Linked DNA regions of Arabidopsis thaliana. The protein of the gene in region 1 interacts with the protein of each later gene in a biochemical or structural test. Each region holds a gene or a part of one and is shown on either strand. Other genes may lie near its edges. The genes, in order: WOL and AHP5.

What was found.
Region 2: the proteins of WOL (region 1) and AHP5 form a complex in vitro, tested with the Arabidopsis thaliana proteins (one study listed by BioGRID).

The regions. Positions count from the first base shown.
Region 1 is NC_003071.7:362,239-369,952, reverse strand, and holds WOL (CHASE domain containing histidine kinase protein), read left to right. Parts: upstream 1-1,595; 5' UTR 1,596-1,936; coding exon 1,937-1,998; exon of another isoform or gene 1,999-2,516; coding exon 2,517-3,066; intron 3,067-3,246; coding exon 3,247-3,483; intron 3,484-3,576; coding exon 3,577-3,746; intron 3,747-3,921; coding exon 3,922-4,140; intron 4,141-4,221; coding exon 4,222-4,460; intron 4,461-4,553; coding exon 4,554-4,783; intron 4,784-4,861; coding exon 4,862-4,960; intron 4,961-5,043; coding exon 5,044-6,248; intron 6,249-6,389; coding exon 6,390-6,621; 3' UTR 6,622-6,970; downstream 6,971-7,714. UniProt on the Arabidopsis thaliana protein: Cytokinins (CK) receptor related to bacterial two-component regulators. Also binds the synthetic urea-type cytokinin thidiazuron, a potent defoliant and herbicide. Functions as a histidine kinase and transmits the stress signal to a downstream MAPK cascade.
Region 2 is NC_003070.9:846,023-850,416, forward strand, and holds AHP5 (histidine-containing phosphotransfer factor 5), read left to right. Parts: upstream 1-1,770; 5' UTR 1,771-2,136; coding exon 2,137-2,205; intron 2,206-2,344; coding exon 2,345-2,475; intron 2,476-2,619; coding exon 2,620-2,691; intron 2,692-2,785; coding exon 2,786-2,857; intron 2,858-2,975; coding exon 2,976-3,048; coding exon of another isoform or gene 3,049-3,105; exon of another isoform or gene 3,106-3,156; coding exon 3,157-3,213; 3' UTR 3,214-3,599; downstream 3,600-4,394. Other genes in the region: 2A6 (2-oxoglutarate (2OG) and Fe(II)-dependent oxygenase superfamily protein), read right to left, coding at 1-552. UniProt on the Arabidopsis thaliana protein: Functions as a two-component phosphorelay mediator between cytokinin sensor histidine kinases and response regulators (B-type ARRs). Plays an important role in propagating cytokinin signal transduction through the multistep His-to-Asp phosphorelay.

The DNA.
Region 1 (7,714 bases):
GATCCATCGATATGAAATTGTATAGAAAAAATGGTATTCGATCCAAGTTTATTGTCTTCTATTTTTCTTAGGTTAATTTCACTTTATTCCAGATTCATTGTTTGTTTTTTCTTTCTCGGAAGAGCACAATGTGAGTTTCACTGGCCTCTGTTATAAACATATATAGAAATCTGTAACAAAAATCATTACTAAAATTCTGTGACATGTGCAGCGATCAAAGAATCAATAGCGGAAAAAGAAACTACACTGCATTCATCTATGACTGAAAGCTTCTGATCAAGCCATGAAATTAAGGTATCCCAAACACGTATCTTCTCTATGTTTATCAATCTTGCTTTAAGTTCTAATTCTGCATATTTCAAAGGAACCATACAAGTGTTCCTAAAATCCATTTGAATATTCAAAAACTTCTCTCAAATATCATGTAGTTATAGAAGCTACTGTCTCTAAGCGCACGAGAGAAAGCTACACAACCCACGTCAGTTTCCATCTACACATATAAGGTAATAATAATATTTTCATGTATCTTTAATAATAGCTCTATGTTTTTTTCTGTATTTTTCATTATAAAACTCATAACTATGTTATCATTTAATATGGTACTAATTTAATGGGATTGATTTACTATTGCCTCAAACATGTAATAATTTAATGATTTTTTGTTTTTAACGTTTTTAGAAATTCATGAGCATTTTAAATTTGTGGTTAGGTCATAACAATTTGCTATTACAAAAAAAAGAAACACTCTAAATAATATAAAAAATAGTTTACCGTATAATACTAGTAGTAAATAAATAATTTGATTGTTATTCATAAATTTTGAATTCTAAAATCTCCTGAATCAACTCATGCAATTGTCTTAAGAATTACACGTGGATAAATCATGGGCTTATGAGTCAGGCCCATTTAACCGGGGTATTTTCGTAGTTAAGAGACTAGAATGGTGGGTATTTCAGGTAAAAGGTCTATGGGGCCAGATCTGCGCTTTGTCGCGATGTCATTATCGCCAAAGATATGCGATAGCGACTCTCGTACAAAGTCTCTCACTCACCTATATTTTTTGTTTTCTTATATTTCAACAAAAAAACGTTTTATTTTCCTTTTGGTGTAAGTAAAAAAACAAAACAAAACGTTTTATTTCTAAAGTTCAGAAAACTTATTTATACCAAGGAAAAAATAGATAATAAATTTTGAGAAGTTGGTGACTATATATTACTTCACTTATTCAAGAAATTTAAACATGGTAAATGTTACTTTAAATGTTAAATGATGTATAAGAAATGTAATGAAATTGAATAAATGTAGTTTTAAAGATGTTTTAATTAGTAAGACAAACCTAGTTAGTGTCACAATAATTATATTTTTTTTTTTGTCATCCAAAATTATTAAAGCTCAAGTAAACCAATCCTGAGGGATATTATTTACAAATGTGATATGATGCGGTTCGGTGCGGATCTTCCGCGCCAAATTATACGCTTTTATATTAGCATTATAAAAAATTATAGATAAAGAGAAGTTTGTGAATTCTTCATTGTCGCTTTGCAATTTCTCTAAATACACAGTAAATACCGACAATTCGGTTAGAGAAAATATATCTATTTCGTATAATAATGTTAACTTTGAGGAGATTTTGGGTAAAATAATAACTTTTGTTGGATGGATCATATCATGAGCCATTAAGAAAAAGTCCAAAACTTTTCTTCTTCAAAGTTGGACTCAAGTTAGAAAAAGAAAAAAGAGCTAGAGAGATATAAAAATGAAAAGAAAGTTCATGGCAAAAAACTGATATAGACAGAGACACAGAGAGAGAGAAACGTATCTGAAGAAAATCTAAAAAATTCGATTCAATTTTTTTCTTACTTTTAAAAGCAAAAAATCTCACTAAAACAAAAGAAGAAGAAAGAAGAAAGAAAATGGAATACCTACATTTGAAGTGATGAGAAGAGATTTTGTGTATAATAATAATGCAATGTTCAATCCTCTCACAACTCATTACAGGTAACTAAAATAATTTCTCCATGTGCTTGCTTATTAGTCGTTCTTCCTAATGTTATGTTTCTCTCTGTGTTCTTTCTTTCTTTGGTCAAAGCTTTAATTTTTTTTCTATTGTTGGATTTGAGACAGTGAACATAGCTATGTTCTTGTTCCAATAATAAACAATCACGCCTGTAAAGAGCTTATGATTGATTAGTGTGTTTTTTAGTATTAATTAATTTCTCTGACAATAATTACTTAGTTTTTAATTCTTCTCTGTAAGAAACCTTTGGAAACTGAGCAAAGTTGCTTCTTTTGAGAACCATGCGTTTCTTTCTCTCTTTTGTTCTTGAATTCGCAAAAACATGTCCTTTTTCGTCTACAGGTTTCTAGGGTTTGTTTCTGTACTATAAACTATGTTTATGGTAACATTCTTAATCATAACTACACTACCAATGCTTTTATGTTATATGTATGCAAAAAAGGCTCTAACTTTTGTTTTCTTTCACTATTGTTTCTTCTTTTGTTCTCTATTGTTGTAGCTCAGATATGAACTGGGCACTCAACAATCATCAAGAAGAAGAAGAAGAGCCACGAAGAATTGAAATTTCTGATTCCGAGTCACTAGAAAACTTGAAAAGCAGCGATTTTTATCAACTGGGTGGTGGTGGTGCTCTGAATTCGTCAGAAAAGCCGAGAAAGATCGATTTTTGGCGTTCGGGGTTGATGGGTTTTGCGAAGATGCAGCAGCAGCAACAGCTTCAGCATTCAGTGGCGGTGAAGATGAACAATAATAATAATAACGATCTAATGGGTAATAAAAAAGGGTCAACTTTCATACAAGAACATCGAGCATTGTTACCAAAAGCTTTGATTCTGTGGATCATCATTGTTGGGTTTATAAGCAGTGGGATTTATCAGTGGATGGATGATGCTAATAAGATTAGAAGGGAAGAGGTTTTGGTCAGCATGTGTGATCAAAGAGCTAGAATGTTGCAGGATCAATTTAGTGTTAGTGTTAATCATGTTCATGCTTTGGCTATTCTCGTCTCCACTTTTCATTACCACAAGAACCCTTCTGCAATTGATCAGGTCAGTGTGTGCTTTATTAAAAGCTCAAAGCTTTGGTGAAATTTTTGATTCATAAATGCAAAGTTGACTTTTTTTGGAACCAGAAGTTTTTGAAATTTACTCTTTTATGTTTGGTTATTGAGTAAATGAAGGGAAATTTAGGCCTTTGCTTTACTCATTGGTTTGTGGCTAATTTTGCAGGAGACATTTGCGGAGTACACGGCAAGAACAGCATTTGAGAGACCGTTGCTAAGTGGAGTGGCTTATGCTGAAAAAGTTGTGAATTTTGAGAGGGAGATGTTTGAGCGGCAGCACAATTGGGTTATAAAGACAATGGATAGAGGAGAGCCTTCACCGGTTAGGGATGAGTATGCTCCTGTTATATTCTCTCAAGATAGTGTCTCTTACCTTGAGTCACTCGATATGATGTCAGGCGAGGTAATATAAACATTATCAGACACTTATGGTTTTGTTTTTTCGGTTAAGTATCCGACCTGCACCTCTTCTGAATTTTGGCTATCTTTTCTGCAGGAGGATCGTGAGAATATTTTGCGAGCTAGAGAAACCGGAAAAGCTGTCTTGACTAGCCCTTTTAGGTTGTTGGAAACTCACCATCTCGGAGTTGTGTTGACATTCCCTGTCTACAAGTCTTCTCTTCCTGAAAATCCGACTGTCGAAGAGCGTATTGCAGCCACTGCAGGGTAAAGTTCCCATCTGATTACTGGAGCAAACTTTTGCTTGTGATCATGTAAAAAGAGATTTTCGAGATTTCATGATTGGTTTATGTGTGTGATCATGTAAAGGAAAGAGGTTTTTTGAGATTTCAAGATTGGTTTGTGTGTAAAGTAAAGATTGATGCTTGAATTTGAAATGCAGGTACCTTGGTGGTGCGTTTGATGTGGAGTCTCTAGTCGAGAATTTACTTGGTCAGCTTGCTGGTAACCAAGCAATAGTTGTGCATGTGTATGATATCACCAATGCATCAGATCCACTTGTCATGTATGGTAATCAAGATGAAGAAGCCGACAGATCTCTCTCTCATGAGAGCAAGCTCGATTTTGGAGACCCCTTCAGGAAACATAAGATGATATGCAGGTACCACACAGAAAATCTTAAAGCTAAAATACTCTCTGATATCTAAAAACTGATATCTTGTTTGAACAATTTCGAGTGCAGGTACCACCAAAAGGCACCAATACCGTTGAATGTGCTCACAACTGTGCCATTGTTCTTTGCGATTGGTTTCTTGGTGGGTTATATACTGTATGGTGCAGCTATGCACATAGTAAAAGTCGAAGATGATTTCCATGAAATGCAAGAGCTTAAAGTTCGAGCAGAAGCTGCTGATGTCGCTAAATCGCAGTTTCTTGCTACCGTGTCTCACGAGATCAGGACACCAATGAATGGCATTCTCGGTACTACATCTTCAAACAAATTCCAGTACTGTTGCCTTTCATCTTTGGTTTCTCAAACTGCCTCAAAGATTCTGTTTTAAAAATTTTCTGCAGGAATGCTTGCTATGCTCCTAGATACAGAACTAAGCTCGACACAGAGAGATTACGCTCAAACCGCTCAAGTATGTGGTAAAGCTTTGATTGCATTGATAAATGAGGTTCTTGATCGCGCCAAGATTGAAGCTGGAAAGCTGGAGTTGGAATCAGTACCATTTGATATCCGTTCAATATTGGATGATGTCCTTTCTCTATTCTCTGAGGAGTCAAGGAACAAAAGCATTGAGGTAAGTTTTCAATCCAAGGAATAAAGATACATCTATTTGGAGTTGTGGCTGCTAATTTCTTGATTTCAAATTTGGCAGCTCGCGGTTTTCGTTTCAGACAAAGTACCAGAGATAGTCAAAGGAGATTCAGGGAGATTTAGACAGATAATCATAAACCTTGTTGGAAATTCGGTTAAAGTTAGTCCCTATTTCAATCTCTGCCTTTGTTGGCAGCTTGTGTATATGATTTTTGTTTGATCAAGATGTTGTCTTTTTGACAGTTCACAGAGAAAGGACATATCTTTGTTAAAGTCCATCTTGCGGAACAATCAAAAGATGAATCTGAACCGAAAAATGCATTGAATGGTGGAGTGTCTGAAGAAATGATCGTTGTTTCCAAACAGTCAAGTTACAACACATTGAGCGGTTACGAAGCTGCTGATGGTCGGAATAGCTGGGATTCATTCAAGCATTTGGTCTCTGAGGAGCAGTCATTATCGGAGTTTGATATTTCTAGCAATGTTAGGCTTATGGTTTCAATCGAAGACACGGGTATTGGAATCCCTTTAGTTGCGCAAGGCCGTGTGTTTATGCCGTTTATGCAAGCAGATAGCTCGACTTCAAGAAACTATGGAGGTACTGGTATTGGTTTGAGTATAAGCAAGTGTCTTGTTGAACTTATGCGTGGTCAGATAAATTTCATAAGCCGGCCTCATATTGGAAGCACGTTCTGGTTCACGGCTGTTTTAGAGAAATGCGATAAATGCAGTGCGATTAACCATATGAAGAAACCTAATGTGGAACACTTGCCTTCTACTTTTAAAGGAATGAAAGCTATAGTTGTTGATGCTAAGCCTGTTAGAGCTGCTGTGACTAGATACCATATGAAAAGACTCGGAATCAATGTTGATGTCGTGACAAGTCTCAAAACCGCTGTTGTTGCAGCTGCTGCGTTTGAAAGAAACGGTTCTCCTCTCCCAACAAAACCGCAACTTGATATGATCTTAGTAGAGAAAGATTCATGGATTTCAACTGAAGATAATGACTCAGAGATTCGTTTATTGAATTCAAGAACCAACGGAAACGTTCATCACAAGTCTCCGAAACTAGCTCTATTCGCAACAAACATCACAAATTCGGAGTTCGACAGAGCTAAATCCGCAGGATTTGCAGATACGGTAATAATGAAACCGTTAAGAGCAAGCATGATTGGGGCGTGTCTGCAACAAGTTCTCGAGCTGAGAAAAACAAGACAACAACATCCAGAAGGATCATCACCCGCAACTCTCAAGAGCTTGCTTACAGGGAAGAAGATTCTTGTGGTTGATGATAATATAGTTAACAGGAGAGTAGCTGCAGGAGCTCTCAAGAAATTTGGAGCAGAAGTGGTTTGTGCAGAGAGTGGTCAAGTTGCTTTGGGTTTGCTTCAGATTCCACACACTTTCGATGCTTGCTTCATGGATATTCAAATGCCACAGATGGACGGGTAACTAAATCACAACTAATACTATTTTTGGATTATTCGGTTTTTGAATTGTTCGGTATGAAAAATTTCCCGCCAAATTATAACTGACTTGGTTTGGTTCGGATTCGGTTAAAATCTTTTATAAACTTCATTGATTCTCAGATTTGAAGCAACTCGTCAGATAAGAATGATGGAGAAGGAAACTAAAGAGAAGACAAATCTCGAATGGCATTTACCGATTCTAGCGATGACTGCGGATGTGATACACGCGACCTACGAGGAATGTCTGAAAAGTGGGATGGATGGTTACGTCTCCAAACCTTTTGAAGAAGAGAATCTCTATAAATCCGTTGCCAAATCATTCAAACCTAATCCTATCTCACCTTCGTCGTAATCCAATCTTCCGGCGAGTTTTTTTTCTCTCTCCGCAGCCGGAAGAGTGGACCGATTCTGCTGATTGATATGCATTTTGGTTTCTGTACATACAGTAGGTTCACAATCTAGAGATTTTGAAGGTTTTTTTTTCTTTCACCGAAGTAATGTAGCTTGCCATGACTAGTGTATGTTGTTAAACGACAACGTCTAAGACGACGGTTCAGTGTTGATCTTAGCGTAAGTATTAATCCCACGGGATCGTTTGTACTGTATCAGATTTGGTTAGTCGTTTAAACATTGTAATGTTCTAATAATAACTTTTCCATATATAACATCTTCTTATAACTTGAGACGAGACCATTTTGATTCATCTTTTGAGCTTGTTTAGCAACCAAATCGGTTAGCTAGTTGAACGAAGATCAGAGAAAGAGCTCAAACAACTCTTCATTAGCTATAGCTCAGTCGACGACTTGAGCTTTCAAACAACAGAAACAGAGCAAAGCTTAAAAACGACTGCGTTTTACTATTGGTTCGTCGATCTCACTAAACCGAGTGAGATAACCAAAGCCAATCAACAACCCTTTAATCGGATCTCTCGATGTAATCTATAAAGGATGAGAAGAATTAGGAACTTGTCCAAGAAGAGTATATAGAAAATATCTGACTTTTTGTTTGTTTTTTATATACTCTATCGACTTATTTTATCAGTTTCAGTAGGAACGCAACGAAATACTACAGAATGAATTTCTCCCGATTTAGGTAGAATTGGATCACCACACTGTTAGGTTCTAATTTGAAATGCCTTCCGACTAATACCAAGGATAATCATACCGTCTGCATTTCTAACTACCAAATAAATTAATTGGACCAAATCACAACTGAGAGACTTTCTAAACAAATTTGTTATTGTTTTCATGAAAAATCAAACTCAGGTATAGGAGTTAAAGTTTCCTTGTGCCACTACACCAAAGAGGTTTGGACAAATATCTGATTTTTAGAATTATTGAGAATTTAAGAAATGATTGAAAAAAGAAGTAAGTGAAATAAATGTGGTTGATGTGTGACCGTAACGAACAGCAAAGTGGACTAGTTGTTGTTGTCACGTAATCTTT
Region 2 (4,394 bases), on another chromosome or scaffold:
ATTTGCAGCCTTATTACAAGTGTGGAGATCGATGTTGCTGTAGTAAAGCACATCTCTAGTGTGATCCCTAGAGTAGAACCGTTTCTTCACTTCCGGGTCCTGCTCGTGAAACCTGCGAATCCCTTCTTTCATCCTCTCCATCACCTCCACCGAGATCCCATGATTCACCACCTGGAAGAATCCCCATCTCTCCGCAGCGTCTCCAATCTTCTCCACCACGCTCCGCCGCGATATCAAATCCATGCTTCCTCCTTTCAGATCCACCGTGGGGATCGTCAGCTGCTGCGAAGGTGGTGCTGTTTGTTTCAGGCTTGTTAGAGTATCCGGAGGTGTATGGAACATGGCTGGAATCTCTTTGATTCCCGAAGCCACAAGCCCTTTCACGCCGGTTTTTGTCTCGTCGAAAGCTTTTGCTTGACTTGAACGATCACTTGACTCCATCTTGCTTCTTCTTTCTTTTTTTTGCAATGCACAGATTTGCATAAGTGCTATTATTCCACATCTTAATGCACATCTTAATACAATTAAATAACAAAAGGAATCGTGACCCATATTAAGATAACAAATAAAGAAATGAATCGCCAAAAACAAGGTCCATTAGTTTATTTCAATTCCTATATTAAAATTTGGATTCTTAATTGGTCGTTTGTCTTTACAAGTAAGAATAGCATCCGGTTTGAACTTTTGTTAATTAACTACACACTTACCATATTAAATCTCATCGCCATTGTTGCTCGCCTAGCTCTCGAAACGCCACTAATTAGCAAAACAACATTTAAAGATATCTCGTTTGGAGGACTTTGGACAATCGTTCCGCTACTGTTCATTTTCTCTCTCTTTGAAGTTTTTTCCAGTTTTTACAGATCTAGTTTTTTCTGCCTCTGTTCTTCATCTTAGGTTATGAATTTGCAAGACAAAGCAGGAGTAAGGCAAGCTATCTTCTCCGGCATTGGAGTGGTGTGGTTTTTCCGGTAAGCGTGGCAGCGGTGGCCCTTTCTCGGTGGATGAGAGGCTTCTCTTCCGTTTCTTCCTGGTTATGGACGTCGGTGGAGATCGGTGAAGTCTTTCTTGGTTCAACCACTTGGTTAGACGCTGTAGCTGTGGCGGAAGACGCTGTGGATTGGTGGGTTTTCAGTGCGTGTTTGATGGTTAACAAACTGGATCTGAGATGGCTGTTGCGGGTTCCGGTTGCTGAAGGGTTGTCTGAGCCATCACCCTTCTTTAGCCTCCGTTTTTTGTCTCCATCAATCCGGATTGAAGGTTGCTTTGCTTTTGGAAAATTTTCAGATCTAAGGTTTTGGAGGTCAGAGGCTTGGAAATGCGTGGTCGTTTTGCGAGGTTGGGGACTCGACCAAATTGGGTGGCGGAGTGTCGGAAACTGGGTTTTTTCCGTTAGGTTTGTTGCAGGTCCGGCCAGCTCATTGGTAAGAGATTTGCGGCAGGACTCGTATACTTCGGCCAATGATCTCGTTCCGGTGGTTGTGTTGCAAAGTAGTGGGCCTTGTATACGACGGTACTAATAGATCTATTTGCTGCCTCCGTTCCACTGCCCAAATCCACCTCTGGTTCTCTTTTTCCGGTGACCGGATTTTTCCTGTTTTGTAACTGTGGACGATTGTAATTCCGGGCCTAAGCCCAATTGGGACTGGACCTTTTTTTTTAAAAAAAAAAAAAAAAGATATCTCGTTTGTGGAGAACGCATGCTAGCAACTTCCCTATCTATAAAATCAGATTTGCACCCCACAAACTAAAATATTATTTACGTACTTGATTAATTCCTACAATATAGTCATTTACAAAAATAACCCTCCATTTGATATTTAAGTCAAAATCAGTCAACGGAACGTGGAATAAATTATAACTTTCGACGCTCCGATCAGATTCATCATCATCTCTCTCTGTGTCGCTCCGATTTTGAATTTGGAATCTCTTAGTTAAGTTGGAAGTTTGTTCTTTGGTCTTTTCGCCTAGTTGTTGTTGGATCTGTTTTAAATTAAGCCAAAAACCTCCGATTAGATCGATCTCGGAACCGTCGAAATACAGTTCACCGTATCCGTTGTTTGTTTTTGGTATATGTATGTTTGAGAAGCTCTTACCATCTTTGTTTACAAGTCTGGTTCTTGGTAAACTTTAGCTATGAACACCATCGTCGTTGCTCAGTTGCAGAGACAATTTCAAGACTACATCGTTTCTCTTTATCAACAGGTTCGTTCCTAACCAAACTTTTCTTACTTTGGCTGGATTCTCACTTTTGGGCTTAGATAAGCTTAAGGTGCAGTTATGTGTGAATTTGAATTTTTTTATTTTTTTTATAAAGATGATATAATATGTTGTTGTTTTGAAGGGATTTCTGGATAATCAGTTCTCAGAGTTGAGAAAGTTGCAAGATGAAGGAACCCCTGATTTTGTAGCTGAAGTTGTCTCTCTATTCTTCGACGACTGTTCCAAGCTTATTAATACCATGTCTATATCCCTGTAAGCTTTGCTTACTCTCTTAGGCTTCTCTTTTTTATCTAACATGGGACTTTGTCTCTAATCCTCCTTCATATTCATTTTTGAGGGTGTAAATTAGCTTCATATATTCATGACAGCATTTTATGAGTTTATTATAAACATTAGGGAGCGGCCAGATAATGTGGATTTCAAACAGGTGGATTCAGGTGTTCATCAACTCAAGGGTAGTAGCTCCAGGTTTGTCACAGTGAACACTGCTAAATTTGCTTTTCTAGTTTTAAGTGACCAAACTACATTGATTTTAATGGCTCAGTCTCTGCTTTGTACTCAGTGTCGGTGCAAGGAGGGTGAAAAATGTGTGCATATCTTTCAAGGAATGTTGCGATGTTCAGAACCGTGAAGGGTGAGTATATTTTTTAGCTTGTTGATGCAAAATGTTATTGGATCTCTAAACTTTTTTATTATATGAGAAGCTATTCTTCTAATTCACACACAAATTGTGATAATGATATCTGGCACAGGTGTCTAAGGTGTTTACAGCAGGTGGATTATGAATATAAGATGTTAAAGACTAAACTTCAGGATCTCTTTAATGTGAGTTTTAAACTTTGCGAAAACCTACTTGTTCTGCTTGTGTATTCTTTTTACTGAGCCTTTTGCTACTTCTCATTCTTCTGTTTCTGTTATGTTATGTTGTTGCAGTTAGAGAAACAGATCCTCCAAGCTGGAGGTACAATTCCTCAAGTGGATATAAATTAGACCGATGCGTTTCTCGATTATGCAAATGTTCAAGGCTGATGACACAAATGAAACCGAAACTCCTCTGTAGTTTTGTTGTTGTTGTTATGTTTTATATTGATTAATGAGGTTCAGCAACACTGTCCCTGGCCAGATATCGTGTCTTGTTTAGACTCTTAATTGAGTTCTAAGAGTAAAAATTGAATTATTAGTCTATAAATAGACATGTCCATATGTATTCCTGTCACAATGCAACCACCATTTGGAGCCTTTGTTCTGACCATCATGACTTAGAATTCTCAGCATTATTCTGAATCTGATATACTCTATTGGATTCATGATTTTGATTTGAGCCGTAAAGCATGCGGGTACTAGTTAGCACTTTAGACGATTTCATTATGTGTGGATTAATCAAGAATGATTTGTTTGAATTATGGATAACACGATTCCATGGTCTCTTTATTTTGTTAACGGTATTCCATGGTCTCTTTTATCAACATTATTGTTATAGGGCTTATAAGACATGATTGTGACAATAGATTGAGAAAGGATTGGGCATGTCTTGTTAGGTATGTATTTAATATAATGTCCGAATTACCTCAAACTAGGAATGAAATAAAAAGAAAATGTCGAAGAATTATCAATAGATTGTTTATAAGTGGAATAAAAAATGTGAAGCCATGTGTCTATGGTAATCACTAGGTGGAGCATTTTTTTTTTTTTAAAGGAAGAGTATGTGAAGTGAAAGAGACTAATGAAACATAAATTGAAGGCATGGAGGCGTGTAATGTAACAAATAATAACAAAGCTTTTCTCCTCTATCCTTCATTTTATCATATCCATCTTCATCATTTTTATTTCTCTCAACCAATGTTTTTAAAATAATTTTGTAATATCCTTATAACATGGTTGGTTTTAGGGTTCTTCATGAAACCGATTCAAAAGTCAAAGCAAATCTTATATCGGTTACTATGTGATCTTACCTTCTATGGAGAGAGGATTCGACGACACACCAAACAAACACAAGAGTCCCAAAACGAGTGCGTTAATTGTCTCGTAGTGCGGACCATCTTAGGGTTTAGACCTTTTTAATTTTGTTCATTATGATTGGAACGTATTGCTTTGGCTTTCTTGCAAAGCCAAGTTTTCTTTTCATAAATCTAATTTGGTCTACTCATCACTACCTAGTCTCTCTTAGAATG